Canis lupus familiaris: one gene and its partner. The protein of the gene in region 1 interacts with the protein of each later gene in a pairwise test. Links are inferred from orthologs where the notes say so. Each region holds a gene or a part of one and is shown on either strand. Other genes may lie near its edges.

Region 1 (7,511 bases):
CTGCTGCCGCCCGCTGCTTCTGCTGCTGCCCTCATTCTTTGCTGCCCATGACCCTTTTCCCTTCCACGGCTGAAGGTGAGACCTGCCAAGGGGTCCTTGCCAGGCCCAGAAACGTGGCCCCAGGGACCTTGATGTAAGACCCCAGGGGCGCCCAGGATGGTAGAGAGAGGAAATGAGGACTGACTCCCGGACCTGGCTGGCCAGCCACAAGCTGTTGAAAGATGCAAGTTTTCACTTCCTTTCCAAGTGGGAGTCTAAGTCCAGCACAGTTTCTGTATTTGAGTTAGATTGCTAGCCCGTTTCTTCCTGCTGCTGCTGCATTCACCGACTCTGGAAGCTTGGCCCGGGCACCTCTGTGCGTGATGAGGGCTTGGGAGCGGGGCTGGGCAGGCCCACAATTCCTGGGCATGGAGCCTAGTCATGAGCTTGGGGGATGGGAGGGGACGAGGGCAATCTCCTCAAGTTGTTTGTGTCGCCGCACCTCTGAGCAGCTTCCCACAGCTGTCTCTCTCGCTGCATTGCTGGGGCCTAGGGCTGTGCCATTAAAAGTCAGGTCGTCTCCCCTCTGTTTGTTCTTTATTTCTGGCCTCAGCCTCTATGCTAGCCTGGGGAGCCTCCCGCCGGGCCCTGGGGAAGATTCCAGCATTGCTAATAGGCACCCCAGGACCCATATCGACGTCAGCACGTGGGGGTGCACACTGCTGGGGTGGGGGCAGTCGGGGAGGAAGCTTCAATCTCAGGAGCAGGTGATGCCAGCCCTGCCCCTGCGTTCCCCTCCCTGGTGATTCAGGGACGCAGTGCCCTTCCCTAGGGAACAGGTTTCAAGCCCGGCAAAGGCAGGGCCCCTGTTTACTCAGCAGAGTAGGGCAGGAAGTGGCAGCTGGATACTGCTGCACCACACTGGCCTCATTAATCATTAACCGTGTGTGAGCTAGAACCCTCTGGGACAGACTGGGCCAAATGGCTGCCACCTCCACTCCCCTTGCCCCCAGGCCGAGGCTGGGAGAGACCTGTTAAGTTGCTGTCAGGAAGCTTCCTCAGGTGTCTCCACCCAGAAGCCCTAGCCTGGCAAACCGGCTGGGCTGCTTTGACTCAGCTACCCACTCCTGGGAATGAAGGGAAGAACAAATTCAATGTGCTTCTAGGGGGCCCTGGTCCTACTTCTTAGCAGAGAAGCCAGCTCGATCCAGAAGAGCTTTAAGTTTTTGACTAAGACAAGCTAGGACAACTGACTCCTCCCAGCTAGTCAGATCTAAGGTAGGGACACCTGCCTCCTTAGGCAGAATGGCGAAGTCATGCCATTCCTCATTAGGCCAGTCCCTCTTCCCAAGCGGTTCCCTTGGAAATGGCAACCAGACCCTGGGCCCCGGGCACCTCTTCTCTTTCATTCCAGGAACAATGAGACTAAGATCCACACCAAGCTGCTTTCACTTTATTCTTCTATTTATACATTCTCCTGCTCCCAGATGTGAAGGCAGACCATGATGTAAGCTCAGCAGTCCTGCTCAGAGCCTTTCTAGATTCTATCCATTTCCCCTTCCCCATCTCCTACCCTCGTCCACACCCAGTCAGTCCCCTGTCCAGTTGTTGTAGAAGCAAAGAAATAAGACTGAGCTGACAGTTCCCATCCACTTGTCCCCGATGCCAAGAGAGCAGTCCTGGAGACACCGGGTGGAGATTCTAATGAGGGATGAGAGCCTCCTTCCAAGGCACAGGGCCACCTCTCAACGTAGCCATTGGTCTGTTTAGATTTGGGTGGTATGTTGGCCTGAAGCTGGGGGTTGCAGTGCCTCCAACTGACTGAGGAGGAGAGAGATGGGAGGGCGCTCCTGGGGGTCTACAGTCATCATTGAGGCCAGCAGCTGCCGCAAGGTTGAAGAATGCCTGTGGAAGGAGGCGGGCAGGGTGACTGGAGGGTCCTCATTCCCCATGCTACGGTTCTAACTCCACTAATGCCAGTGAGGAGTCTGAAGTGTTTCGTACCCCTTTTATTGCTCACCTGGGGCTCTGCGGGATGCTGAGTTGGTTCTGCACAGCAAGGGCCACACTGTCACCCTTCTGGAACACCATGTCATATGGGCCTTCCCCAAACATCATGGCATACAGCACGCAGCCTAGGGACTGAACATAACTTGGTTATTACTTGACAAGGGACCAATAGAAATGATCTCTTTCCTCTGGACTCTGTAGTGAAAGGTGACTACATAAGCTAATAAGAATAGGCTGACCTCAGCCCCATGACACCACCAGGGTCCAGAGAAAGCACCAGCTAGCTGGAGGCTTCTGCACCCCCTGCTTGCCACTGCCTTCAGTCCTGACACTTAGCTGTACTCATTCTGTTCAAAGGGAGGAATGATACCACTTCCTGAGCAATTGAGTACAGTGTCAGTGACGGTTCCCAGGAAGGAAGTCGAGGGGGATGGGGACATACACGGTTCCTGGGGCCCCATGCAATCGAAACCAAAGACCTGCCCCTCTGCTGCACAGCAGGTACAGAGCGGTACTCCTCCCCATCCATGTGCCCCCCCACATGCTCCTCACCCAGACATCAGTCCGCTCATCAATGACACAGTGGCTCTGCACGGAGAAGAGCTCTGGGGCGCGGTAGGAGATGGTGCATCGCTGGGCTGCCCAGTCCTGGAAGAGTGGCCCCATAGCTCAAAAGAGAGGCACAGGTCATAGTCATGTGACCAAACTGGGGCATGCAACAGGAAAGGCTGAGGATGGGGAACAGGAGGGCAAAGGAACCTGGACACTCTTTTACCTGCAGGGCCAGAGCCTGGCGGGAGCCTTCCACATGGATGCAAGCTTGATTCATGGAACCCAAGTCCATTAAAACTGGCTGCCCCTCATCTCCAAGCAAGATATTGGTGGGCTTCAGGTCCCTGCAGGAAAGTGGAAATAAATGGCCCATGAACATCCCTGGATAGGGAGACTAGAATCCCTGGGGGCAAAAGAATCATGGGGACTGTTCCTTGGGAGGAGAGCAGAGACCACTCAATCCTTTTGGTGAGGCTCTTTCTTTCTGCCCCATAAGCACACTGGGCCCTCCCACTGACCTGTGGGCATAACCTCTGGCATGAATGGCCTCAAGGCCTCTGCAGATACCCAGCAGCAGCTGAAGGATTTGATCTTCAGTCAAGAAGTTGCCTTTGTCCTTCAGCCTTTCTATCTCGTTCCACAGCGTACCCCTCTGCAACACAAGTTTCCCCACGGTTGGACAGGTTTTCTGGGTCTCTGCTCCCTCAGCCTGATCCCTTCCCTGTGTCACAGCCTAGCAGCTCTTTCACCACACACACTACACACCTCACAGTCCCACTTGGGTTCCCCTAAACCCCAAATCTGAAGCGGTCCAACACAGGACATGGTCTCTGCTTCCTAACGTGCTTGGCTACTCACACAGCCCTCGGTAGATGACTCTGTTGCAAGCCCCTCCATTGCCAGGAGACTTTCTGACCTTGAAGAAGGGTAGCAGCAGCCAGGCCTCATGTTTAGTGCCCCGCTCCCTCAGACAATAAGCCACAAGGCGGAGGATGTTGGGGTGATGGAAGAGGCGATGCATGTCTGCTTCTCGTTGGGCTTCCTCCCGATCCTGCTGCTCGTGACACAGGATCCGCTTCAGGGCGTAGAAGTGTCCATCATGTAACCCCTCCACTAGGTCCACATAGCTGAACCCACTGTGGGCCAAAGGGGTCAGTGAAGGACCACGGTCATCTCCCACACTGCTTGGACCCAGAGGAACTCCCTGGGTGGGGAGGGGAGGGGGTGTCTTTCCCAGTCAGCAGAAACCCTCCCAAGACGTGGCTTCAGGAGAAGTCTGAAGATTTTACACTTTGAGCTCAAGGGTAGGAACACAGCAATCTTTGAGGTACCTTGGTCATAATGCACAGCTCTGCACGTGACAAATGCTCCGGAAATGTTACATGAGTAAGTAACAGTCAACATCTGTCAAGTGCTGTGAACCGGGCCCTGGGTGAGATTATTATTATTATTTTTTCTCTTTTTGGTGAGATGATTTCTATGCACTATCTCATTTAATCCTCACAACTCCATCAGCGACAAAAGATAATTATCTCCAGGGCAGCCCGGGTGGCCCAGCGGTTTAGCGCAGCCTTCAGCCCAGGGCCTGACCCTGGAGACCCAGGATCGAGTCCCGCATCGGGCTCCCTGCATGGGGCCTGCTTCTCCCTCTGCCTGTGCATGTGCGTGTGTGTGTGTCTCTAATAAATAAAATCTTAAAAAAAAAAAAAAAAAGATGATTATCTCCATTAAGCAGATGATGAAACCACGGCTTAAGGTCACACCAGGTGGAGCCAGGAGGCCTGGCTCCAGAATCCACTTTCTTGGCATTCGGGTTGCTAGGCTCTGTCAGGGGAGCTAAAGGATGCTTTACAAGGATGAACCTCCTGAGGCCCTATCACGTGCAGACTGCTGTCCTTCACTCACCAGAACCCTGGGGGCTGGCTAGGCGATTTCAACACTCACCCCTCCCCCAGTTTCTGGATGAAGAGGTAGCGCTTGTTGTCAATGAGGACGGTTCCCCGGGAGCAGACACACAGCGCGTGGCCCATAGCGCCTCAGTCATCCTCCTCAGGGGCGGTCCGGGGCTGCCGACGGCCGCGTGCGGGCTGAGGGGGCTCTTCCAGGCGACGCGCTGGGGGCCCCGCGGATCATGCTGGAAGGCAAAGGACGGCAGGGTCGTGGGCCAGGCACGACCCCCGAAGTGCCGACGTGCAGAGCTGGCGCCCGGGCCTCGGAACGCAGAGGAAACGAGCCTTGGCGACGCCGGCTCGGGCACGGCCGAGGTCGGGTGCCCTGGAGCCTCGGGCCACGCCGCGACGCCCAGGCCGCGTCCTCGCCGTCGGGCCGCCTCGGCAGCCGCGGAGCGTGGGGGCGAGGCCCGGGCCCACCCGGCGGGGCCCGCCCCGGCCTCGGCGCGCAGAGCCCCGGGAGGGCCGGCCCCGACTCCCCACTGACCTGGCTCCGGCCGGAGACGAGCGCCGCGGACCGGAAGGAGCGTCTACGTCATCAGGCCGCGCCGGCGTAACGGCCCGCGGTATCCTAGCAACCGCAGGGCATCCGGAGGATGTGGGGGCGCGGAGCTGAGAGGCCGGGGGCGGGCTAAGGCGCGGGGGAGCACGGGTCCCGGGACCCGGTGAGGGTTCCACACCAGGCCTTCAGTAGTGGGCAGGACGCAGGCACCCGCGCCCAAGGGGAGCAAAGCCGGGCTCGGCCCGAGGCCCCCCAGGCCCCCCGTCTCCCAATGCCGGAGGTAGGAAGCTGCAGTCCAGCCCCGAGGGGCGGGGGCCGGGCGGGGGCCGGCGGCCTGGACCCCCACAGCGCCGATCGGTGCACCCTTCGGGGCTCAGGCCTGCATCCCACTACCCTAGTTTCAGTGGTTAAGAGCTTACTAGCTGCGTGACCTTGGACGACTTAACCTCTCAGAGCCTCGGTTTCCCCAGTTGTAAACAAGCTCTAACAGTACCTAAGGTTAGGTGCCCGTACGGGGAGGCCAGGCTGCAGCTCCCAGCTCTGCTAAACTAGCTGCGTGACCTTGAGCAGACTATTTAAAATTTCTGCCTCTCAATTCCCTCATGGGTAAAATGGGAGTGATAATTACCAACTGCACGGAGCTTTTTGAAGATGAAGTGAGATGTAAAGTGCTTAGCACACTATCTGACACAGCCTTGGTGTCAATAAATAGAAGTTGCTGTTATTTTTATTATGATTCTATTTTTCTTATCCTGGTCCTTACATCCCAGGCTTGGGATTGTGAAGGCAGGAGTCATGGAAATTCATAAATTCCCAAGCCTTGGCCCCAGGTAGTTGTTCTTGACAGCTCTCGCTGAGGCAGGGCAGGGATAAATTGAAGAGCGGTGGACATCCAAAGAAGACAGAATGGCTGAGGTGGTCTCTTTTGCTGTAGCAGGGCCACTAGGAGAAAAAAAAAAAAATCCCATTTATAACTTGGTTCCTACTTTCACACCACTGGGAAGATTGATTCCGAACCTGTTTTAGCCCCCTGGTTCCGACATTCATTCATCTAGATTTAACCTGCTATGTACCGAGTCCCGTGCTAGAAGCTGAGGATGCAAGATGGACAAGGTACTCTTCACCCTCAGGGAGCTCAGTTTAGTACCACAGTGCTTCTCAATCTTGAATGCCTTTCGGATCGCCTGGGAATCTTGTTAAAATCCAAATTCTGATTCTAATAGGTCTGAGGTAGGACCTGAGACTCTGCATTTCTAACAAGCTCCCAGGTGATGCTGATGAAGCGGATTCAAGATGTAGAGGATCTTACAAACTAGTAGAGTAGCGCGGGTGGACAAGTCCAGGCTAATTGCCTGGTGACTTGAGGTGGTCTCCGCCCCCTTGCTCGCTGAGGTTCCCTCCCAGGAATCCACCACGTGACAGCCGGACCGCCCTCTCTGAATAGAGGAGCCCTGTTAGCGCCATGGCTCCCAGGAAGCGGCTCTGCCTTCCCGTCCTGCTGTTGCCACTTCTGTCCCTGCTGCTGCCCCAGGTAAAATGACAGGATTGAATCGGCAGGCTGGGCGTGGTGAGGCGGGATGAGATCCAGCCCAGGAGAGAAAGTGAAAATAACAGAACAACAGGCTGGGCTAGTTCCATCTCCTCTGCAGACTCTGACCCCTCCCTCTGTTCCAGGCCTCTGCTGACCCCGGGCTCTCTCTTTGCAGGCAGACAATCGGTCGTTCATAGTGGATCGGATAAATGACAGATTCCTTCTAGATGGGGCCCCGTTCCGCTACGTGTCTGGCAGCCTACACTACTTTCGGGTACCACGGGTGCTTTGGGCAGACCGGCTTTTCAAGATGCGAATGAGTGGCCTCAACACTGTACAGTTGTAAGCAGTGCTCAGGACAAGCCATGGAGGGTGGGATTTACTCTTCCTACCACCCCCCGTCAAAAGGGGATTGGGACAGGAGGACTAGCTGGGTATGAGAGCTCCAGGGCTTCCAGGCCAAGGGTGGGAAAGGGTGGGCCAGGACCTCCTTCCAACAGCTTCCTGGAGATTCCATGCAAGGCCTGAGCCCTTAGGCCTCTCCAGCACCTCCCGCCTTGGGCCCTGTTAACCTTTTTCTTTCTCAGTTACGTGCCCTGGAACTACCATGAGCCAGAGCCTGGGGTCTATAATTTTAATGGCAGCCGGGACCTCTTTGCATTTCTGAAAGAGGCATCTCTAGCGAACCTGTTGGTCATACTGAGACCAGGACCTTACATCTGTGCAGAGTGGGATATGGTGAGTTAGAAGGGATAGAACCAGAGCCACTCCTGTGCAGTTCCTTCACTCCCCCCATCTGCCCACACTGTAGGGCCACTTCCAGTGCTATACTCAATATCCTCCCTTCATACCTCTTCCACCCCACTCCCAAACAACAAAACCTGCTGTCTTTATGTTTGTCGCAGGGGGGTCTCCCAGCCTGGTTGCTTCAAAAACCTGAAATAAATCTGAGAACCTCAGATCCAGGTGAGCTGAGACAAAAGTTTCA
Region 2 (7,009 bases), on another chromosome or scaffold:
ACACCAATGCTTCTGGTGGCAGGATTTAACTTCTAGCCTCTCTTTTTCATTTTCTTCAGTTGAAGCTCCTACTAAGATTCTGAACTTCTCTAGGCTTGTACTTAATTGAGTAAAAATAAGTAACTTCTCAGTAAGTAGGTTACTTCTACTTACTGAGGCAGAGGGCAAATACGGGAGAAACTTCCTCATGAAGGACAGCTCAATGTCTCAATAAGCCAAGAAAGGTTCTGATCTGAGCAGAAGCAACAGAGCTACCTAGTGGGCATTGCAAGAAATCCACCTCCAGAGAAATCAAGCCCCCACTGGTGAGCTGCTCCTATGCAATCCCCTGGTCTATCTGCATTATCGTTAGGGGCAAATGTTTCCATCTGCTTATGGTAACCTCTACATCTTCTCTTCCTCTTGCCCTCTTGGCTCATTACTTCTACTAAATGAGAGTACTGAGAGAAAAAGCCTAATACAACTCTTCTTTTTTGCTTAATAAATCTGCTCCAAGACTGTCAGTCAAAGGAAAAGAGCAGACTAAATTTACAGTAAGGTTGGAAGAATTAGCTTATTACATGGCATATAGTCACATCATTTTCATTCCTAAATAGCATGGATTACTTAGAATCTAGCATATTTAACAATACTATCCTTTCTTCCTAGGGATGTGTTCATTCAACAAACACTCCTTTATGTGCTAGGCATCATTTTAACTCATTTAATCCAAAAATCCTATGAAGTAGGCACTTGTGTTAGCTTCTTTCACAGAGGAAGAAACTGAGTCACAAAGACATAACTGCACAAAATTCACACTGGCAGAGTGAGGCTGGGTTAGGAACCCCATCAGGCAGTCTGCTCTTTTACTATTAGCCACTACAATCTGCTAAACTGATCTTACCTGCCCCATTAGCTTGTTCTGGCCCAAGAATATTCTATGCCATGGACTATTCCCAGTCAGTCTTTGTCTCTCAAAATCGTAAGACTAATGTCTCTCACATCTGCTCCCTCCATCCAATCTCCTTGCATGGACCTTTGATACCTCCTCTGGCCTGGATGCCTGACTCACCTCTACACTGCCCACCCAGCCTCACCCACGGCCCCAGACCCCTACTATTAGCATTAGAGGCTCTCCCACCCCAAATGTTCATGCCATACCACCCCTCCTCAACTCAAGGAAATAAGGACTCCCTCTTGGCACTGTAGCCCTTGGGCAAGTCATGTAATCTTCCATGATCCATGTTCTCCTTTATAACTATCTCATCCAACTGGACAATCAAATAAGACATTTTTAAACACTTAATGCAATGTCTAGATTACACTATGCCAAAGCATAGATCAAAAGCCACCTCTCTTCCTTAACTTTCTCACACACTCTCCAAAGGAAGCAACCTATATGCACTCTAGACTCTTGGTATTTCTCTAGCAAATTTAGCATTCCATCTTATTTGTAGGTATGGCTTCTACATAGCCATGCACACTCTCCCTAGGTATATGTGAACTCTCCTCGAGTCAGATTCCAAGTTCTATAGATGGAGCATTTCCTGTAACATGTGGCACAGGCACTGGCCTGTGGTACATATCTAATGAGTGTGGGTGAACAGTCATTATTCCCCACTGCTCAAGAAGACAGCCTACTTCTTGAAATGAAAGAGGCTATAGTTAAGCTTCTGTAAGGGAAAGCTCTATGCAGAGAGGGTGAGCTTATTTTAAGGCAAATCCCCTCTGATACTCCATCAGCTCTAGGCCTCTCCCAACTAAAATGGGTTGTAAATGCACAACCAAAAGCTGCTAGGTAAGCAATAACTATTGGGGGCTGGGGAGGAATCAAAGGCATGAAGTCAGAAACTCCAAGCATAGCACAAAGGAAATTCTTCTTTCTAACCAAGTCTTACAAAACCCACACCCACTGTGCCTCCTATGGCCAGAGGCAGGGGACAGTTACAAAGTGCTTGGGTGTCTATTCTCAATGAACACTACTGGGATCACATTTACCTGGGATCATTTTGATAGCTGTGTTTACTTCACTCCACTTGTGCACCCGATCGAACTTCCAGTCCAGGATAAAATTCCCATTATCCGTCACCACGGGACCCTAGAAGGTATGATTTTCCACATTTACAGAAGTTATAAATACAGGTAGGCAGAGAGAGGGGCAAGAAAGTGAAGGGGATGCCCACAGACAAGTATCTTAATTAACCTGCTCCAGCCAGTACCCCACCTCCTGCTTTCTAGAAGGCAGTGCTATGAAGAAGTAATGAGCAGGAACTCTGGCATCAAAATTTGAGTCTTGAAGCCACATAGGTATAGAGGAGGCTCAGAGAAGCTATTAACTTCTGTGAGCCTCAGATTCCTCAACTACAAAAAGAGGATAATGATACATACTTGAGAAAGCAGTTTATGTATAAACCATAGGGGTAAGCACTTACCACAGTGAGGGCTCATAGGACGGGTTCACTAATTGGCTAATAATAGCCAATTGGCTATTACTAGAATGAAAAACTAGAACAACAGAAGCAGACTATCCACATGGACATTCTCACTGCTTCACATTAGGTGCCCAGTAAAAAATAAGGCAGTGCTATTGCACCCATCACTTCACCTCGCAGGCAGTCCCACCAAAACAGGAAGCAGAGACGTGTTCTGGGCTCCAAAAAAGAGCAGAGGGTAGTTTTAGATAATTAACCCAAAATTCCTCCACAGCTTTGGGCACTAGTAGGCATTTGGGACCACAAATGTGGACAGAGCACTACAGTCACAGGCAAGGAAACTAGGCTGCTCCTGCAGGTTGGAGGTGAGGGGATGGGAGATCAGTGAAGAGCCCCAAGAAGGCAGGATGCTGGGTTCCTGTCTGGAGTCACCCCAGCCATGAGAGAGAACCCCCTTCTCCAACAGTCTCCTCCGAACCTCTCAGCTACAGAGGGAACTAGACCCAGAGCTCTGCATAACCACTAGAATTAGGACTGATTTTTAAAACATCAGAAAAACGCTAGGAAAAAAAAATCAACATAAAAATGCATCAGGGTAAAGTCACAGATAATCTGTTTTCTCTTCTGTATCTTCTAAACCTGTTATAAAGTCATGTCTATAAATACAGTTAGCTTTTGGGTTATTACTTTTGCTTGTTTATTTAAGTGTAAGAGGAAAAAAAAGTTCTGTGCAGCCCACTTTAGAAGTAGAAGAGAAACATTTGCACTAAGTTTCCAAAGCGTATTCCTAAGGAAGAGTTCATATCCCCCAGGAAATTCTACTTCTTGTCACAGAATGAAGTAAGAGGAGAAAAGGAAAATTATACCATGGAACCTGGAAAACTTCCTGCCCTGGGGTGCCTCCCAAAGCCATTTTTAGCCACTGGGAAGCACGGTGGTCCAGACCACAAGGTACAAAGATCCAATCACCTGAGGACCATAAGACCCCAAGGGACCAAGAAAAAGAATCAATTCCTCACTTGTACAGAGAATATGCACTGCATTAAGTGTCATATCATCTACACGAGTTTGAATATAGGAACTAATAAAGCTAGTACTCTAAAAATAAACCAATAATCTGAATAAAAATAAATAAAAGCTGACTACCCAGGCTATACTCAGAGGGACCTAACTGAAACAAAAAGGAGGACACCACATCAAGAAGCTAGAATGCCCTTGAGAAACCTCCCTGACCACTTACTGCCTTGTTGATAGCCATCCGAAGTTCAATCACGCCCCCAAACTTCTGGGTCACAGCTCGGCTCACAGGAACATAGGCCATTGGGATGACCTCAATGGGGATTCCCTTGTGCCACTGATCCCCGAGATTCTTTGAATCTTTCCTGGAAAGAAAGTCAGAAAGTACAATAAATATAAATAAGCTCAATGGTATAGACAAACACCAAATTCAGACGTAGTAAGTGGGCAGAGAGCAGGGAAACACACCGGGCTGCTAATGTTTGAGCTGTTTTACTAGTTAAGAAATTAGGTATTTCAAATAAGTATGACTTTTAAAAATGTTAAAACTGGTTATGACTAGCTTGTGGCTATCCAGGTGTTTATTATTTATGTTCTTTCTACAGTAATAATATCTTGTAAGTCAATACAATTTTTTTTTAAATTAACATGCTCAGCATAAGCACCATCTACCAGACTCCTTGAAGGAGAATCTGAGAGCCTGGTCAGAGACTCTGCACAACACATTTATGTGTCCAGAGGAAGCAGAACATGCTGAGTCACTGCCCGTGGGCAGGGCCTGTCCTTCCTACAAGGATCAAATGAGTGATATATGAGGACATGCTCTTGTCACAAGAGTGACAAGCTATTTCCTCCTCCTTCCAATGGACACAAAACATAGCAATATGTACCTTCAGTATGAAAATGGAACAAAATCCTTCAAGACACTCCCTCAGTCTTAGCCATCAGTCTCAGAAAGCCAGACAGCCCCTCCATTTCTCTATCCTCCTCTATAAAATGGGGATGAGGTTGGGGTGTGATCTACCTCCGCCCCCAGTGGACAGCTCAGAACACTCAACATTGTACCTGAAGTCGGCGATCACGATGAAGCGACTGGCATAGCCGGCCACAATTTTCTCTTGGGTCAGACAGCCTCTGGGGATGGGAAGAGGCAAGTGAATACAGGGTCGGACACAAACTCAATTTGAAAACTAAGGTCAGATACAGGAAACCCAAATCTACTTAATGATAAATTGAATTTATAATTTTTAAAGATCCTCAACTCCATCATGCTGGGCAATGGACTAAACTGTGTCCTTCCCAATTCCATATATTGAAGCCATAACTCCCAAGTGCACATTACTTTAAGAAGTAATTATGGTTAAAAGTGTTTGGAGGGGTGGAGGAGTCTGGTCTGATAGGATTAATGTCCTTAACAGAACAGACACCAGAGAGCTCACTTGCTCTCTCTCCACCCTGAGGGCACAATGATAATAAGGCAGCCAACTCAAGCCAGAAGTCTCCAGAATTCTTAAAAATTACTTGTTGCTGAAGCCACCCAGACTACAGCATTTTGTTAAGGCAGCCTGAGCTAAGACATGTTGCTTCTGGTAAATGAGCCTATGTCTGGGAGAAATGGATCCCAGTCAGGCCAGGCATACTCCTATCTAAAATATATCTGTGCTCAAGGAAAAGTCATCTGAGCATGGCATGAATGGAAGGGTCTATAACTTAAGAAGGACAAGCTTTGAACAACCTTTCCTATCTACTATTTGACAGTTGGGGTGATGAAGCAGAGTGTACGGTATGATTCTAAACATGTTGTGTCATTGCAGTCTGCTTAATTACAATAGCGGAGCAGGACTTGGCCTTCTTCAATCCACCATTCCCTACCCCCAAATCAACATTTAAGAAATACTCAATAAATGTTTTCCAAGTGAATAAATACATGTACAACTAACTGCTCACAGAGGTTAAGAGCAGCTTTAAGCAAAGATCACACACTAATTCCCACAGACCTAATAATCTACCCCAACAATATATCTGGTTTAATTCATACAGTTATTAAAATTTGATTCAGCAGAAGAATGCAGATACAGAGAACTCAGTAAGATGAATAATCTCACTGAAGAGACCCAGGTTCCTGGTCAGCAGACTGCTACTCATAACTAGAAATGCCAAACTGGCTCTAACAACCATCAACTTCCTAGAAAAAAGACAAGCTCACATACATCACAGTGGCCATTTGTTTATTCTGTCTTCCACCTTGCTTTGCTAAGGATTAACTGGCAGATACTCCTCAGCAAGAAAGTCCCCACAACACTCACCCACCACCCTTGATGAGATTGAGATCAGCATCTACTTCATCAGCACCATCAATTGCGAGGTCAATCTGTGGGAGGAGAGAAGAAAGATACAGAAACTACTGAGAGCCATTAGAGGGGAGGCTCTGTGCAAAGCTTGAACATGTAATAACTCATCAGATCCTCAGCAGCCCTATTAGTTAGGTAGAGTTATTCCCATTTAATCAGTCAAAAAACAGGCTCTGAGAGGTTAAGCTATTCCACTAAGGTCCACTAAATATGGAGCCTGGAAGCCACACATGGGTCTAGTTCTTACCCACATTACACTCCCTTTTCTCATTGATAGGCATCTCTGTGGATGAGCTAGAATTATTAAGAGTACACAATCCCAATGTGGGTGACATCACCCCCAAGTACAGAAAAGATACACAGTATACCTGTGGTATTAAAATTTCACTGGAGGGGGGCAACAGAAAAAAGGCCGAGAAACACTGATTCAGAAGTCTCCATGCTAAAGTGGCAAAAAGAAAGGCAGTTTCCAGCACAGAGAGAAAACCCAATGAAGAGTTATAAAGCTGACACACATTTGATCTGCAATTGGAAATTATCTGAGGCACCCTGACTATGACCCCGCCAAAGCACCTGTCCGGGCATGCCCACTCCCACTATTAGGAAATTCTACCACCAACCCCAGGAGCAGTCAGGGGCAGGTGGGTTCATTCATCTTTCAAGATCTGAAATCAAGGAAGCTAAGTATTTCGTGACACTCCTGGACTCCAAGTAGACAGTGTGGGAGTCTTAAGTATGGTTATTTAAAGCAGCTGTATGAAGAAACCTCAGGGTACAAGTCAGTTTAAGCTGCCTGGCATGGCACAAGTATAAAGTGCACAAAGCTTCAGCTTCACCTTGTTTCCATGCTTTCAGATTCTGCTCTTTGTCTGAAAAGAGAGGCTATACTGCTTCTCCACACCCTGCGCTAACCCCAGGGCCAGGCTACATCATGGCAACTCTTGGGGCCTGGAAGGCTGCAACCTTCTTTGTGTGAGTTCCAGGCCTACCTTCAGCCCAAACCACTCTTCTCACAGTGCTGAACACTGACTCACACTCTGCCCTGGCTCTGCCCACAGAAATCCCCCAGTGAGCCCTTCCCATGGTTCTTACTAAACTCTCTAAGGCCCACGTGTACCAGGACAACACAGACTAGTAGACCATCGGGTCCCCATCTGCAGTCTGGTTCTCAAGCTGCCATAACCCCTTTCCACTCTTCCAGTCCAGCCTCTCCTCTCCCACCATGCACCA

What was found. The genes of interacting proteins can lie anywhere in the genome.
Region 2: the proteins of STK16 (region 1) and RPIA interact in binary tests that used the Homo sapiens proteins (3 or more experiments, as listed by UniProt). The two-hybrid records come from large-scale screens. The link is inferred for Canis lupus familiaris from reciprocal best matches to the Homo sapiens genes STK16 and RPIA.

Annotation. Positions count from the first base shown.
Region 1 is NC_049258.1:25,667,168-25,674,678, reverse strand, and holds STK16 (serine/threonine-protein kinase 16), read right to left. Parts: upstream 5,073-7,511; 5' UTR 4,978-5,072; intron 4,676-4,977; 5' UTR 4,572-4,675; coding exon 4,486-4,571; intron 3,897-4,485; exon of another isoform or gene 3,882-3,896; coding exon of another isoform or gene 3,873-3,881; intron 3,678-3,872; coding exon 3,458-3,677; intron 3,194-3,457; coding exon 3,060-3,193; intron 2,886-3,059; coding exon 2,765-2,885; intron 2,638-2,764; coding exon 2,542-2,637; intron 2,122-2,541; coding exon 2,000-2,121; intron 1,885-1,999; coding exon 1,746-1,884; 3' UTR 1,411-1,745; downstream 1-1,410. Other genes in the region: GLB1L (beta-galactosidase-1-like protein), read left to right, coding at 6,455-6,523, 6,699-6,865, 7,111-7,261, 7,429-7,489. UniProt on the Homo sapiens protein: Membrane-associated protein kinase that phosphorylates on serine and threonine residues. In vitro substrates include DRG1, ENO1 and EIF4EBP1. Also autophosphorylates. May be involved in secretory vesicle trafficking or intracellular signaling.
Region 2 is NC_049238.1:38,096,069-38,103,077, forward strand, and holds part of RPIA (ribose-5-phosphate isomerase), read right to left. Parts: intron 5,800-7,009; coding exon 5,735-5,799; intron 4,563-5,734; coding exon 4,494-4,562; intron 3,794-4,493; coding exon 3,652-3,793; intron 2,078-3,651; coding exon 1,978-2,077; intron 1-1,977. UniProt on the Homo sapiens protein: Catalyzes the reversible conversion of ribose-5-phosphate to ribulose 5-phosphate and participates in the first step of the non-oxidative branch of the pentose phosphate pathway.